Drosophila melanogaster: one gene and its partners. The protein of the gene in region 1 interacts with the protein of each later gene in a pairwise test. Each region holds a gene or a part of one and is shown on either strand. Other genes may lie near its edges.

Evidence for each region. The genes of interacting proteins can lie anywhere in the genome.
Region 2: the proteins of CG11382 (region 1) and CG3225 interact in a two-hybrid assay, tested with the Drosophila melanogaster proteins (one large-scale study listed by BioGRID).
Region 3: the proteins of CG11382 (region 1) and CG1598 interact in a two-hybrid assay, tested with the Drosophila melanogaster proteins (one large-scale study listed by BioGRID).

The regions. Positions count from the first base shown.
Region 1 is NC_004354.4:1,207,958-1,212,365, reverse strand, and holds CG11382 (uncharacterized protein), read right to left. Parts: upstream 2,397-4,408; 5' UTR 2,270-2,396; coding exon 752-2,269; 3' UTR 513-751; downstream 1-512.
Region 2 is NT_033779.5:4,815,113-4,820,169, reverse strand, and holds CG3225 (uncharacterized protein), read left to right. Parts: upstream 1-1,924; 5' UTR 1,925-2,003; coding exon 2,004-2,132; intron 2,133-2,196; coding exon 2,197-2,288; exon of another isoform or gene 2,289-2,354; coding exon 2,355-2,448; intron 2,449-2,506; coding exon 2,507-4,228; 3' UTR 4,229-4,254; intron 4,255-4,278; exon of another isoform or gene 4,279-4,312; 3' UTR 4,313-4,387; coding exon of another isoform or gene 4,388-4,490; 3' UTR 4,491-4,546; downstream 4,547-5,057. Other genes in the region: CG15629 (uncharacterized protein), read right to left, coding at 4,388-4,490, 4,547-5,057.
Region 3 is NT_033778.4:7,537,732-7,541,564, forward strand, and holds CG1598 (uncharacterized protein), read right to left. Parts: upstream 1,966-3,833; 5' UTR 1,860-1,965; coding exon 1,747-1,859; intron 1,684-1,746; coding exon 1,566-1,683; intron 1,482-1,565; coding exon 1,041-1,481; intron 982-1,040; coding exon 643-981; 3' UTR 501-642; downstream 1-500. Other genes in the region: Gpo2 (glycerophosphate oxidase 2), read left to right, coding at 1-452. UniProt on the Drosophila melanogaster protein: ATPase required for the post-translational delivery of tail-anchored (TA) proteins to the endoplasmic reticulum. Recognizes and selectively binds the transmembrane domain of TA proteins in the cytosol.

The DNA.
Region 1 (4,408 bases):
AGTGAGAGGCGGCGGCCAGTGCGTTGACCATCCATCACGCGGCGGTGAATGGTGCAACTGGGGGATAGGCAAGCGGAACCAGCGGATGGCATCCACTTGATCGCATTTGTGAACACGTTGTGAACACGTTGTGAACTCAAGACGCCTCCTTTTAACTTGTATTCTAATTCAGCAGGTCTAATTCAGTTAGCCTGGGCAGCCCAAGCCCATTCGACTCATTGCCATGCCAGCGTCGTTTTGGAAGCTCCACTCCCTACGCTGCTCCACGCCTCCCACGACAGCCGTCCACTCTTTAGTTTGATATAGTTTCACGCATCAAATGCGAATCACAATTTTTAAGCGAAATCCGAAATCGAACCAATTTGTAACCACAAATCGGAGAGAAACTGCCAAAATCTGCGACGTGTGCGGCATTCCAATAGCCTGGAATCTATCCAGTTGGTAGGGAGGAGCCTCCGCACACGAAGAGAAGTTGAGAAAGTTCCATTTCGCTTTTAAAAAGAAATCATTTTCATTTGGCCTATTAAGTGGCTTCATTTTATTGTAAAACCCATCAGTTTGTACTGCTTAGAACTTTCTTTCCACATAACTATCTCACTTGCAAATACTCTTTCTTCCTTCCTTTTCAAATTGTTTCAACACTGTGACTCTTGATTTCTTGATTTTTATTGTTCCATCTTGGCTTGCAGTACCAAATAGATAGGGATAAAAAAATACATTGGACGCTAGAGCTTAAAACTAGTTTAATAATTTAGTGGTAACCATGGGAGGACGCGGCCGTTGGGCCGTAGCTGCTGGCAGGAGGCAGGTAGGTCGCCTCCGGTTCGAAAATAGGCGTGGCCGAGTCCCCGGAGTGGCCGGGTGGTCCGTATAGTTGCGCCGGAGCCTGGTAGTCATAGCCTGGCGAAGAAGGAGCCTGCAGGAATGTGGAGCTGGGCGTGGCGTAGTCGTAGCCGGAAATGGAATTCGATCCGGACTCGTGCTTGGCCCCTAGAAAGGCACTGGGCCTAAAAGGCGCCTTGGAGACGTCTAGGTCGTGGCTGGGTGCTCCGGACTGGACGGAGTGGTGGGCAGAGCTGAGAACGTCGGTGTGGAGAGCCTGTGGCTTGCTGGCCGTGTAGCTGAAGTGACCCAGGCCCTTGTGGCCCAGAGCATAAACCGGTGTTTCCCTCTCCTGCTCCCGATCGCCCTTGTGCTCCTGCTCCAGCACCTGCACTTGCACTGGCTCCGGCAGTGACTCCTGGTGATCGTAGCCGGGTATGAGTGGTACGCCGTAACTGCTCAACGGCACTCCCTTTCCAAAAGGCGTGGCGGGAGCATCGTAGGAGTACCCAGAATGCTCCTCCGCCGGCTGGGGCAGCGCGTGCTGTGGGAACTGTCCTCCCGAAGAGTGACCCAATCCCAGGGCGTGGCTCAGACCGTGCTCCAAGGCATGCTCCAGACCGTGATCCAAACTTTGGATAGGTCCGTGACTGACTGGTTCATGGGCGATGTGATGGCTGGGGCCATGGCCAAAGTTGTTGCCATAGCCGTGACTTTGCAGGTGGCCACCGTAGCTGGGTCTGTGGGCTGGTGCCGATCCGTAGCCAATTCCGTGGGTGCTGCCCCTCGCTCCGTGGCTGTGTCCGGAGTACTCGGGAGTGGCCACCACATATGTGCTGGTCTTGTGTTCATTCCCAACGAGATTCAGATAGGCTCCACTGGTAGATGGTGCGTACTTAAAGGCCAATCCAGATCCATGCCCGTGACTCAGGCCGTGACTGATTCCATGACTGATCCCGTGACCGATTCCATGTCCATGTCCCTGACCATGGTAGTTGTGACCGGAACTCGAGCCGCCACTTGTTTGAACGATGTAGGTTTCGATTTTAGGAACTCCACTACCGCTGTAATGATGGGGCCTTCCATGGCCACTGGAACTGGCGTAGCCGTGGCTTCCGGAGTGTCCGTGTGCGAAGTGGTGTCCGTAACTGCTCTCGCCCTTGAAGTGACTGGGGTAATCGGAATAACCAGCCGAGCTTCCATGGAAACTGCCGAGGTTAAGGTGACTCTCATAGGCGGGCGGCAGATATTTGTGAGAAGGGCCGTGATAGCTGGATATTCCTCCGAAACTTAGGCCAGCATCTCTTTTTGGCTTAGCGGAGGATGAGGTCTCAGCCGAAGATGAAGCGGGCTTTGAAGAAGAAGCATCGGCAGCTGGAGAAGATGAGGCGGCTGCCAACAAAAAGAAGCAGCAGCTTAGCACAGCGCAAGCTAACGGTAGTTTCATGCTCAAGTCACAGCAAAAATCACGGAAAAAAAAGTGAATTTAACGGTTATCCTTCGATCGTGTTATCGGTTATCCTTGTTCCTCACGTTGGATCCGGAGTATAGAACGAGACGAGACGCGACTCTAATCGCTGCCGTTGGCGTTATGTTGACGAACTCTGTGAGTGCCGACCCTTTTATACATTTTAAAGAAGCCACTTCAAACTGCAAGAAACTCGGTTTTTGCCTTTGCCTCTTGCCATGCTGCTCTCTTGGCATTCTCTTTTTGTCGCTCTCACGCTCACGCACGCGAAAAACAACGGTATTTCGTGTGTGACGCCGACTCCGACTGCGCTGCAGCCTTTCTTCATTCCCTCACTCTTAGTTTCGTTTGCGCACAGTGGGTTAAATTCACGTGTGCATAAATATTCAATGGTGTGACCTAGCTCCTTAAAAATACATACGACTTGAACAAATGTATACAAAATAGATTTTCTTGATAACGCTATACATTTAATTGTCTTTTAGATTCGAAAAATAAAGAATTTAAAACATTAATATTTAAAACTATATTACAGCATTATTCGAATTAAAAAACGATTTAGATTTCCAAGTCATAAAACTGTTACGGTTGCACATTCACTGTTCTCAATGTTCTCAAACTGTAACGACATCCTTGCTCTCTCTCTCGCGCGAAGCTGTCGCTTTGGTTAGTTTGATTTGCGATCAGCGTGTGCAACTTACATATATTGTATGGGCTCCGGGAAATGTGTGCCAGGGATAAAAGCATTTACTTAAACTAAACAAGGAACACGTTTGTACAAGTTGTGGCTGAAATAGTGATATTTACGAATTCATAATTTTGTTGCGACTTGCGGAATATAACGGCTCTCTAGCGATCGCTTTGGTTCATCTGAAATATAGATAACTACGCATTTGCAACTTGCTCAAGGCTTGTGGATTATAACGGTTCTCGCGTCGGCTTCGGTTTCCCCCGCGCCCCGCGTTTCATGAAGCAGGCAGATGAAACGAAAGGCGTAAAAGGAGAGTGCAAGTTACCACCTAGTGATGGAAAAGGGTCCACGGTTTGTGGAAAGAAGTGGGCATCGTCTGTGGATCCTGGGCAAAACAAAGTGAGTGAGTTTTTGATTGATACTTACAGTTTTTGTACATACGTATGTACAATATATTCGATATAAAGATCAGTATTATATTATAATATTATATATCCTTATATTATAAGCCTGTTTGGACTTCAATTTTCAATAGCATTTTTACCCACTGTGCGAGTGTTACCACTCAAGTTCAAGTGACACTTTTAAAAATCACATGTCTGCTTACCACGCCCCTTGCCATCTTGCCATTTTGGCCCTGTTGTGTTCATGTTTCTTCTCACTTCCTCCTCCTCAGCTGGCTCACTTACATTTCCCCAAAAACAGCTTAGTTTGTGCGTAAATTGCATTTAATTTACAACAACCCGTATCTTTCTCCTCTGGTATCCCTTCTTCCTCTTCTTGGGTCTCTCTTGTGCACCCTACTTCGCCTCGTAATTGTTGCTGTTTTCCCAGGTGCGCGATTTTTTTTTCGAAATTCGAAAAGCGATTTGTTTTGCTACCGTTCGGGATCTTAATTTGGGTCTCTGCCGCAGATGATGATGATTTGGCAATAGTTTGAGGTATGTTAGTGCCCCTTTGACCCCGACCCCTCTCTACGGCACCGGTAACCCATGGCTACTAATGGACTTGGCCCGAAACCTTTGCGATATATCTGCATGCAGCCCACGACCATGGAAGATAAATGATGTGCACCTTGCCGGTCTTGCTTGTGTTGTCGTCAGACGGCCTTCAAGGGCAGTTCTTCATCACAGTGGAATTTAAGCCCATACATGTCGAGATTAGTAACTAAGAACTTGGCATTTGGACATGCAAATCTATGACAGAACAAGCTGATTCCAATTTCGGAATTGGTGTACATACAAATATTACCATGAAAAAATTGAGAGAATCCTCCTATTAGAGGACTCATTTGAATGTAATGGTAATGGTAGTGAACACATTGTATACAAGGTATCCTTCCGGGCTTTCGACTGGTCTGGTAGGCGTGGTTAGTTGCTGCCGGTACTCCTCTAGGCCCGCTTCTTTGGTCAACAGTCGTGTGCCAC
Region 2 (5,057 bases), on another chromosome or scaffold:
CTTACTTTTCCATATTAATTTCCAATTAAGCGTCACCATTTTTTTTCGTGTGCACTTTGTGTGTGCTGCATTTGAGTTGCGACTTTGCCGCCCTGCCACATGCATCATGAATCACGCAAATTCGCGGCACGCAAAGACAATGACGCCAGCCCCTTTTCGCACCACTCGCTGGGTGTCGAGGACGCACAACTCCGGCGTTTGTAATCAGGGTCGTCAACGCGAAACTATAGTTATAATACGTAGATAGAACAAAAGGAACGTACCCTCCACTGGCATTTCCAAGGAAACTTTGCTCGTAAAAGCCGGAATAACAGTTAGCATTCATGCCGCCCTTTAAGTTTTGTGGCATTTAGTCAGGTGCCCAAAGACGGGGGAATCGGAATTTGGATACCGGCAGTGGAGTGCCGACAGCCGTTTGACAGTAAAACTCTGGCCTTGGGCGCATCTATTAAAATTTATATGCAACCGAAACTGGAACTGGACGCCAAACGGACAAGATACACACTGTGCGAAAATGTGACAGCCTCCCATAACCCGCAATGTAACTAAATATTCACTTAACTACTATTAAGTGGGATAGAAGGCAAATGAAATGACTAATCCATATGCACAGCGGAAATTATTATATTTTAGTATTTGCAATTTAAGATGTAGTACTAAATACTGAAGCATCGTTCTTAACACTTTTCGAAACTATAATCTTTCTCATGTAGCGAAGATACCTCTTTACCTGTGATGCTGATATCAGCTTGAGTGGAAAGTGAAAACATTTTTTCTCAGTGCCTTTTAGTTGAAGCACTTTCCGCGGACGGCGGTGTTGACAAACTGCTCGCAGAGTTTTTGGCTTTCGCTTGGCTTTGGCGACTTGGCGCCTCGTCCTTGGCATGAAGTTCGCCGCTGGCCTTTAATTAGCTTTTCTCGGATTACTCATACGCCATGGGGGCTGGGCTCGGGTCGAGTGGAGTGGAGTGGAGCTGGGCTCCATTGTTTCAGCACTGGCATGCGGATGTGGTTGGTCAAACGTGCATGTCGGGCACGTGTTTTGCTTTGGCTTGAAATTGGTGGTTGGGTTCGGATCGCATCGGATGGGGTTAAAGTTAAAGCGAGCGTTCTTAATGTCAGGGTCAATGCAGAATACGGGGGTCCTGCATGTGTGGAATCGACGGCCATCTTACTCGTCCCAATATTGGCGGCATGCATATAATACCCACTGACGGTGCATAAATCAAAATATATACAAAAAAAAAAATACAAGCGGGCAAAACAATGTGTGTGTTTTGTTGCTCGAGAGATACAATACAATATTTATTCAAAAGCAATTGGCCGGGCGCTTCTGTCGCCGACAGCTGCACAAAACTCGGGGGACACTTTTGACACACACACGTGGCCAGGGCGACCTTATAGTACATAATGAGTTTGCTGGGTATGCAGAGGAGCAAAGTGGCCTTGCCACTGGCAATTAGAGTTATTTTCACTAGCAATAGGGGACATGTCGGTGCTGCAACGTGCCCGCAAAATGGACAAAAACATGTGCATGAATAATACAGGTGAATGTTATGGACATTTGCCACCATTGGGGCTCGTGAAATGGTCGACTAAATCAAATATATTATAATTTGTGGGTACCAAAGGTATAAGCTTGAGGTACTAGCCAAACAATTTCTAAAAACTAATATTTTGCATTTTTAAATCTTAACTAAAATATAGTGAAATTTGATTATCCTCTTTTCTTATAGACCTCAACTAGGCGACTGTATACTTAGTGATTAAGTAAATACTTAGGTTTTTGGGCAATTCAACTTATTATATAGTTGATGGTTATCGTTAATCGAAATTTCAATACAATGCAATTTCCCGCCAAATAAAAGTGTGACCATTAGTTTATATTAAACGAAATTCCTAACATTCTTTTGCGCGCTTTGGTATTTTGCACCAATGCATTGAGTCCATCAGCTGTTTATTTAATTTCAAAACTGAATCTATAACGAAGTAAATAATTGAAAATGAGCACTTTTAAGCCAAAGTTCCTAAAACCCGAGACGGACGATGCAATCACAGATAGTGCCGGTGGTGAACAGCAGTCCTCCGCCTTTGTATTCAATGTCAATCACAATATGGGACTCATGGAGCAGGTGGGCTTACAAAATATTTCGTAAACATTTGCTAGAATAACAAATTAAACTTAAATTATTACAGAGGGAACGTTTGCCCATTCGTCAGTACCGGGATCAAATACTTTACTGCTTGGAAAAGCATCAAGTGGTCATACTAGTGGGTGAAACAGGCAGGTTTGTATGGAATTCCATGAGCTTCAAAGTAATGCTTCTAACTCTGTGGTTTTTCATATTTCCCAGTGGCAAGAGCACCCAGGTGCCACAGTATTTGTATGAATGGGGCTGGCACACCAAGGGACTCATTGGCATCACCGAACCACGACGCGTTTCCACCGTAAGTAATCCTAAAGCAAAGCAACTATAAAATCTAAAACTAAAGACTTCATTTCCAGGTTACGCTGGCTAATCGCGTGGCACAGGAACGCGGCGAACTGGTAGGTGACACGGTGGGCTATGTAGTTCGCTTCCTGGAAAGCATGAGCTCCTGTACCAAAATCAAGTTCATGACCGAGGGCATCTTGCTGAGGGAAGTCCTAGCCGATCCGCTGCTCACCCAATATGGTGTTATCATCGTGGACGAGGCGCACGAGCGGAATATGCTCACCGACATGATTTTGGGACTGCTCAAGAAGATCCTTCGCAAACGCAGCTCGCTCAAGCTCATCATTTCATCGGCCACCATAGATGCAAGCTTCTTCAGCGAGTTCTTCAGCTGGCCAGGATCGGGCGAAGTGAGCGTTAAGCTAAGCATTGAAGGTCGCATGCATCCTGTGAGTAATTTCTATCTGAACGAACCCTGCGCCGATTATGTGAAGGAAACTGTGGAGACCGTCTGGAAACTGCATCAAAAGGAGCCGCCTGGCGACATTTTGGCCTTCCTAACTGGCCAGGAGGAAGTCCTGGAGGCGCTGGATCTTCTGCGCGAATACATCGCCAGTTCGGAACAGGAGAATCTCAAGGTGCTGCCCATGTATGGTAGTATGTCGAGCACTGATCAGTTGTCGGTATTCTTTACCCCGCCCAAAGGAACCCGCAAAGTGGTGCTGGCCACGAATATAGCAGAGACCTCCATCACCATTCCGGGCATTGTTTATGTGATAGACTGCGGCTACGTCAAGGTAAAATGGTACAATCCCAAAACCTGCAGTGACAGTTTGGTTATAGTGCCCGTCAGCAAGGCGTCGGCCATCCAGAGAGCAGGACGAGCGGGTCGTATGCGTCCCGGCAAGGTCTATCGTTTGTACACTAAATCAGACTATGAAGCACTAGCTCCTCGGCAGCCACCCGAAATGCGACGCAGCGAATTGAGCGGCGCTATCTTGCAGTTAAAGGCGCTGGGCATCGGGAACATATTGCGCTTTGATTTCCCATCGCCACCACCGGCACAGAATCTACTTTCCGCACTGGAGAGTCTATTTGCCTTGGACGCCATCGATGAGCAGGGCAATCTGACGAAGCCCGTGGGTTACCTGTTGGCCGAACTCCCCTTCAGCGCTATGCTCTCCAAAATGCTCTATGTTTCCGGTCAGATGGGCTGCTCCGAGGAGATCATAACCATCATTGCGTTGCTGCAGGTGCAGTCTATATTTTCGCGCCCAGCTTCAGCGGTTGCCCAACAAAGTGGACGCATTGCACATCGAAAATTCGAAGTTGCGGAAGGGGACTTTATTACGATGTTGAACGCTTACACTGGCTTCGTGGAGGAGGGCATGACCAAGGAGTTCTGTGGCCAATACTTCCTCATCTACAGGAATCTTAAGAGGGCCCACTCGCTGAGGGAGCAACTCATCACAGTGGCCAGAAAGAAGTACGGCATTCCAATCTTCTCGTGCAAGGGCGATGTGGAAAAGTTGTGCAAGTGCATCACCGCCGGCTTCTTCACACAGGTGGCCTATCTGCATCACTCTGGAGTTTATAGACAAATCAGCAGCGGCACTGAACTGGCCATTCATCCGAACTCCACTCTCTACACACTTCCTCAAGCTCAGTACGTGGTCTATGGGGAACTGCTCCAAACGACGAAATTGTTCATGAACTACGTGACCGTAATCAAGAGAGAGTGGCTGACGGAGCTGGCGCCGCATTATTACCAACAGACCACAGTGCGGGATTAGCAGGAACTAAAGCCTTAATGATAGGTGTAAGTCTATTAAAATAGTTCATTAAATCAAATAACTAAGTTTATTGTAAAATTATAGGTGAAACGATGCCGCCTCTTGAAAAAGAACTTAAGCTTAGGTAATGGATTCCATATGATGATTCCTATTGTGTGTTTAACCAGCGGCGACGCGCCCTCGTCCCTGAAACATCATCATAGACTCGGGTCCACGGATGACACGCGACATCAGCTCCCAGCACATTTTGGCGGGCAAAAGACTGAGAAAACCAGCATTAATTACATTGTATATAACTATGTTAAATAGACTACTTACCATTTGAGAGGAGTGAGCAGGCGAATAGAGTTGGGCAGCACGCACCACACCTCGTTGCAGCGCACGGCGTTCTCGATGCGATCCGCCACATACTGCGGCTCCAGCATGGGCATCATCCGCGGCCGAACACCCGAAAACATGCCCGTGTTGATGTAGTACGGGCAGATCAAACTCATTTGGATTTGATCATAGCCATGGGCCTTCAGATCGGTGAGCAAACTCTCGTGGAAACCGATGCAGGCGTATTTGGTGGCCGCGTAGTCACTGCATCCGTAGGTGCCCAGCATTCCAGTTACCGAGCCCACAGTAACGATATGACCACGATTATTGCGCATCATGTGAGGCAGAAACGCTTTCACGGTCCAGTAGTGCGATATGATGTTAATGTTGTACGTGTTCTGGATGACCCGATCGTGCAGCTCCCAGAAGGGTTTGCAGCACACGATACCGGCATTGTTAATCAATATGTCGACGGGACCAACCTCCTCGGTCACCTGGCTGGCACGCTGGT
Region 3 (3,833 bases), on another chromosome or scaffold:
ACTGGTCGCGAGATCAAATTAAAAAGCAGATCCGCCAGACGCGAACTTTTCTTAACTCCCAGATGGGCCAGCTGACCAAGGAGAGCGCTTCGCAGATGAGCATTCCCATTAAGATGAGCGTGCGCCAAGTGCGCAAGTTTGCCGGGCAGTTCAGGCAAATGGATGATAACAATACGGGGTACGTGTCGATTGCAGACTGCTGCAAGGCAATGAAAACGATGGGCGTAAAGGAGGTGCCCGTCGACCTGATGCACGATGTCCTGCGGGACATTGATGTCCATGCCCAGGGCAAGGTGAACCTGTATGAGTTCCTTCTGCTCATGTCGGCTATTGTGCAGGGCAACACCGAGTACCTGCGGTACGCACGGCTGTATCTGGACCACAAAAGGCAGATGCAAGGCAGCAACTTTCCCACCGTAATGCAAATGGAGCGTGCCGGGGGCGGTCTTTGAAAGTATCATTCGTTGTAACCCTCTCCAGTTTGGAATACTGCATCCGTTAAGCGTTGTCTACGCATTACACGTCGAAGCAGATCCCTTCGGGGATCGCTGCCTCAACTTTAATTTATTTTACGCACTTTCTGTTCACACAAACTAAGGAAGAAACTTACAAACGGATGGGTAAAGGGTTGGACGGGCTATCCTATTCCTTGGGCTCGCCCTTGGGGTTGTAGGGCTTCATAAGGTTCTCGGAGAAAGAACGGATGCTCTCTGGACCGCGCACCTCTTTCTCGAGGAGCGGCAACTTGGTTACGTGGAAGTCTTCATACAGGTCGGCAATCTGGTCCAGGTACTTCTCCTGAATCTTGAAGCGGGAGGCGCACATGCTGCACGAGTCGTGCGAGTTCTGCAGAAACAGCAGTTGGTTTACAATGATGTTGTGGACGTCGATGCCGCACTTGGTTAGCTCTTGCACAAGTCGTTCCGTCTCGTACAGCGAGAAGAACTCTGCTATGCACACGCAGACGAATGTAGTTTGATCCTGCCGAAGGACGAATGCGGATTAGGCGTTGTACGAGCTAAATACATGTTTCTACGTACTGGGTTCTTGAACTGCTCGTTGACCTGGGTGATAACGCGCAGCATGTCGTCCAGCTTCTGGGAGAGTGTGTCAGCGTTCACATCAGCCATGCCCAGCATGGAGACGAACTGTGACAGCAGGGGCGCCACCTTCATCTTGAGCCGCAGCAGCTTGCCCAGCCCCTTCTCCACCACCTGGGGAAATGCAATCAGACGCAGCGTGTGTCCCGTGGGCGCCGTGTCGAAGACGACTACCGAGAAGTTCATGCCCTTGACCAGCTTCATAACCTCTGCATAGCTCATCGCCTCGTCGATGCCGGGCAGGGCGTTGATCATCTCCTGCATGACGCCCTTGCTCACGCGCAGCGCCTCATTTTCGCCATCGAAGTACTCCTCGGGCAGCTCGTTGAGACCGGCATTTGGATCGATTTCCATGGCGAACAGGTTGTCAAAGCCATTTACCTGGTTGCGGAAAAGGAATTGCGATGTGCTTTAGTTTAGCTTATACAATGGTAAATGACTTCATTTCCGGATTCTTCCACCAACCTTTGTCGGCACCTTGGTGAACTTCTGATCGAATGCATCCGATATGTTGTGCGCCGGATCTGTGGATATGATTAGCACGGATTCGCGCACTTTCGACAGCTGAACGGCTAGGCTAGAACTATGTTTAACACGAAGATTAATTAGATCAACCGAGAAAGTTGGCTTGTTGTTGTTGTTTTACCTGCAAGTCGTCTTGCCCACGCCGCCTTTTCCGCCCACGAAGATCCACTTGAGGGAGTCCTGCTCGACGAGATTCTGCAGGCTGGGCTCCAGGGGCTCCAAATTGTCGGCCATAATGCCCACTAAAGCGAGACACGTATGAAATTAGTTGAAATTAATAATTGCTTATAAGCAATGAATATGACTTCTGGCGTGCAGAGTGACCGTTTTTAGTATGCATACGTATAAGTTGATAGGCACTAAAATCAGCTGATCACGAAGCACTGCCAGGGATGGATGCTCATTTGGCGCCAAAGGAAAATTATTTGAAAATAAAATTTTGCAAATCTCAATAAACTTGACAAAAGTGAGAACAAAACTGCCAGCGGTGTGAAACTAACATAAGTTTCAACTAATTGTTGTTGTTATAACAATAGCAAAAAAATATTCTCAAATCTGTTGCTGCGTACATGCTCAAAGCTCCGCCGCTTTTATCGTGCCTATTAAATGCACAAAGCGCGCTCGCAGCCCAAGAAAATCACAATAAGTGCCGCGGATGCTTGACCCGTCCCCGTGTTCCCCGCGCCCGCTCTACCCATCACTGTTAATTGTGCAAATCGCGAGCTTATCAAAACCCAAGTGTCGGCGAGAAAATGCGAGCAGCAAGGGAGCACAAACCCAAGTGGCTATGGACTACTAAAAATAGTTGTGAAAACACCTTCGCCGTTGGGCGTCCGCGTTAAATAGCTTCGATTTTTGGTATCTTCGTGTCATTATGGGCTTCACCCCAAAACCACATCGATTTCCGTCCATTGCCGCCTAGTTTTGTCGTTTACTGAACTCGGCGTATATAGAGTTATTTCAACTTATCACAGAATACGGAAGCTGCGCTGTAAAATAATACTTATTCCAAGAGCTAGACCATTTTTGAGTGACTCTGTGGATGTTATTGTGAGTGGATTGCAAACATTGGATAAAACTTATTGAAAATAACATTTGATTTGCACTTAAATCAGATATATTTAGACGATCATTTTAACGGGGATTATTAAATTAATAAACGACAAAGGTATGTACTCAAATAAAAGAAATTGTTTGTTTTCATAAAACTGCTTCCATGCATGTATACTGATAGTGGATAAATACAGTTTTAATATAGTTTTAAAAATGTATAGTATTTAAACAAAAATTAGATGGAAGGGATATATATATATATATATATATTTAATGGGCCATTGGTTTGGACGATATTACATCAAAAAAATATACAAGATGAATGTAATATTTGAACAAAACCCTTTTTATCTTTTTTTTTGCAATTATAAATATACATATATGTATATCTAATAGTTGAGACAGTTGACTATATTTTTTTCTGTTGATTTATTTAAAAAAACTGATAACTGTGAACCTTAAAGTTAAACTTTAACACTTAATTTCTGTTCTGCGCTGTGCCCACTTGTGTGGGCCTGAATACGTAAGAAAGTTTATCATACTCCTCGATATTGAATGCGAAAAATGTTATCAAAGTTGATGAGAAAGTTTTCCTATCGCCTGTTTAAGCAGCTAAATTAAAAACAGATCAATTAACGTTAAAATCACACACGCTTGACAATTTGTTGATATTAACTTATCGCCAAGCTGAAAATATATTGTACAACCAAAAATATTTTTTTATTTTGATACAGAACGGCTTATTGAAAACCCATTTATGGCTGTTAAAAGTTGAACTGAAAAAATTGAGAACAAATCGCTTGGTGAAAAAACAAGAGTGTTTTTGCCTCATATGCGTGTAAATCCGTTTTATGCGACTGAAACGATTCAATCATTCTGGCAGTGCTTTTTAAAATAAAGCGATAAAGTTGGCTGGATGATTTATTTATTTGCCCAGCCCTGGGCTTTCGAGATCCGCTTTTTGTCTGTGCGTGCGTGCGTTTGTTGGCCCATGAAATATGAGCGCATTAAATTTTATTATATTGTTTGGGCCATTCTCGGCTTTGGTCCAAAGCACACACTCGCACTCTCGCACACACAGCCACAGGCGCAAGGACAGCAAACAAGCGGAAAGTTCAAAGTCAAACAATAACACTTTCCATAAACAAAAAACCC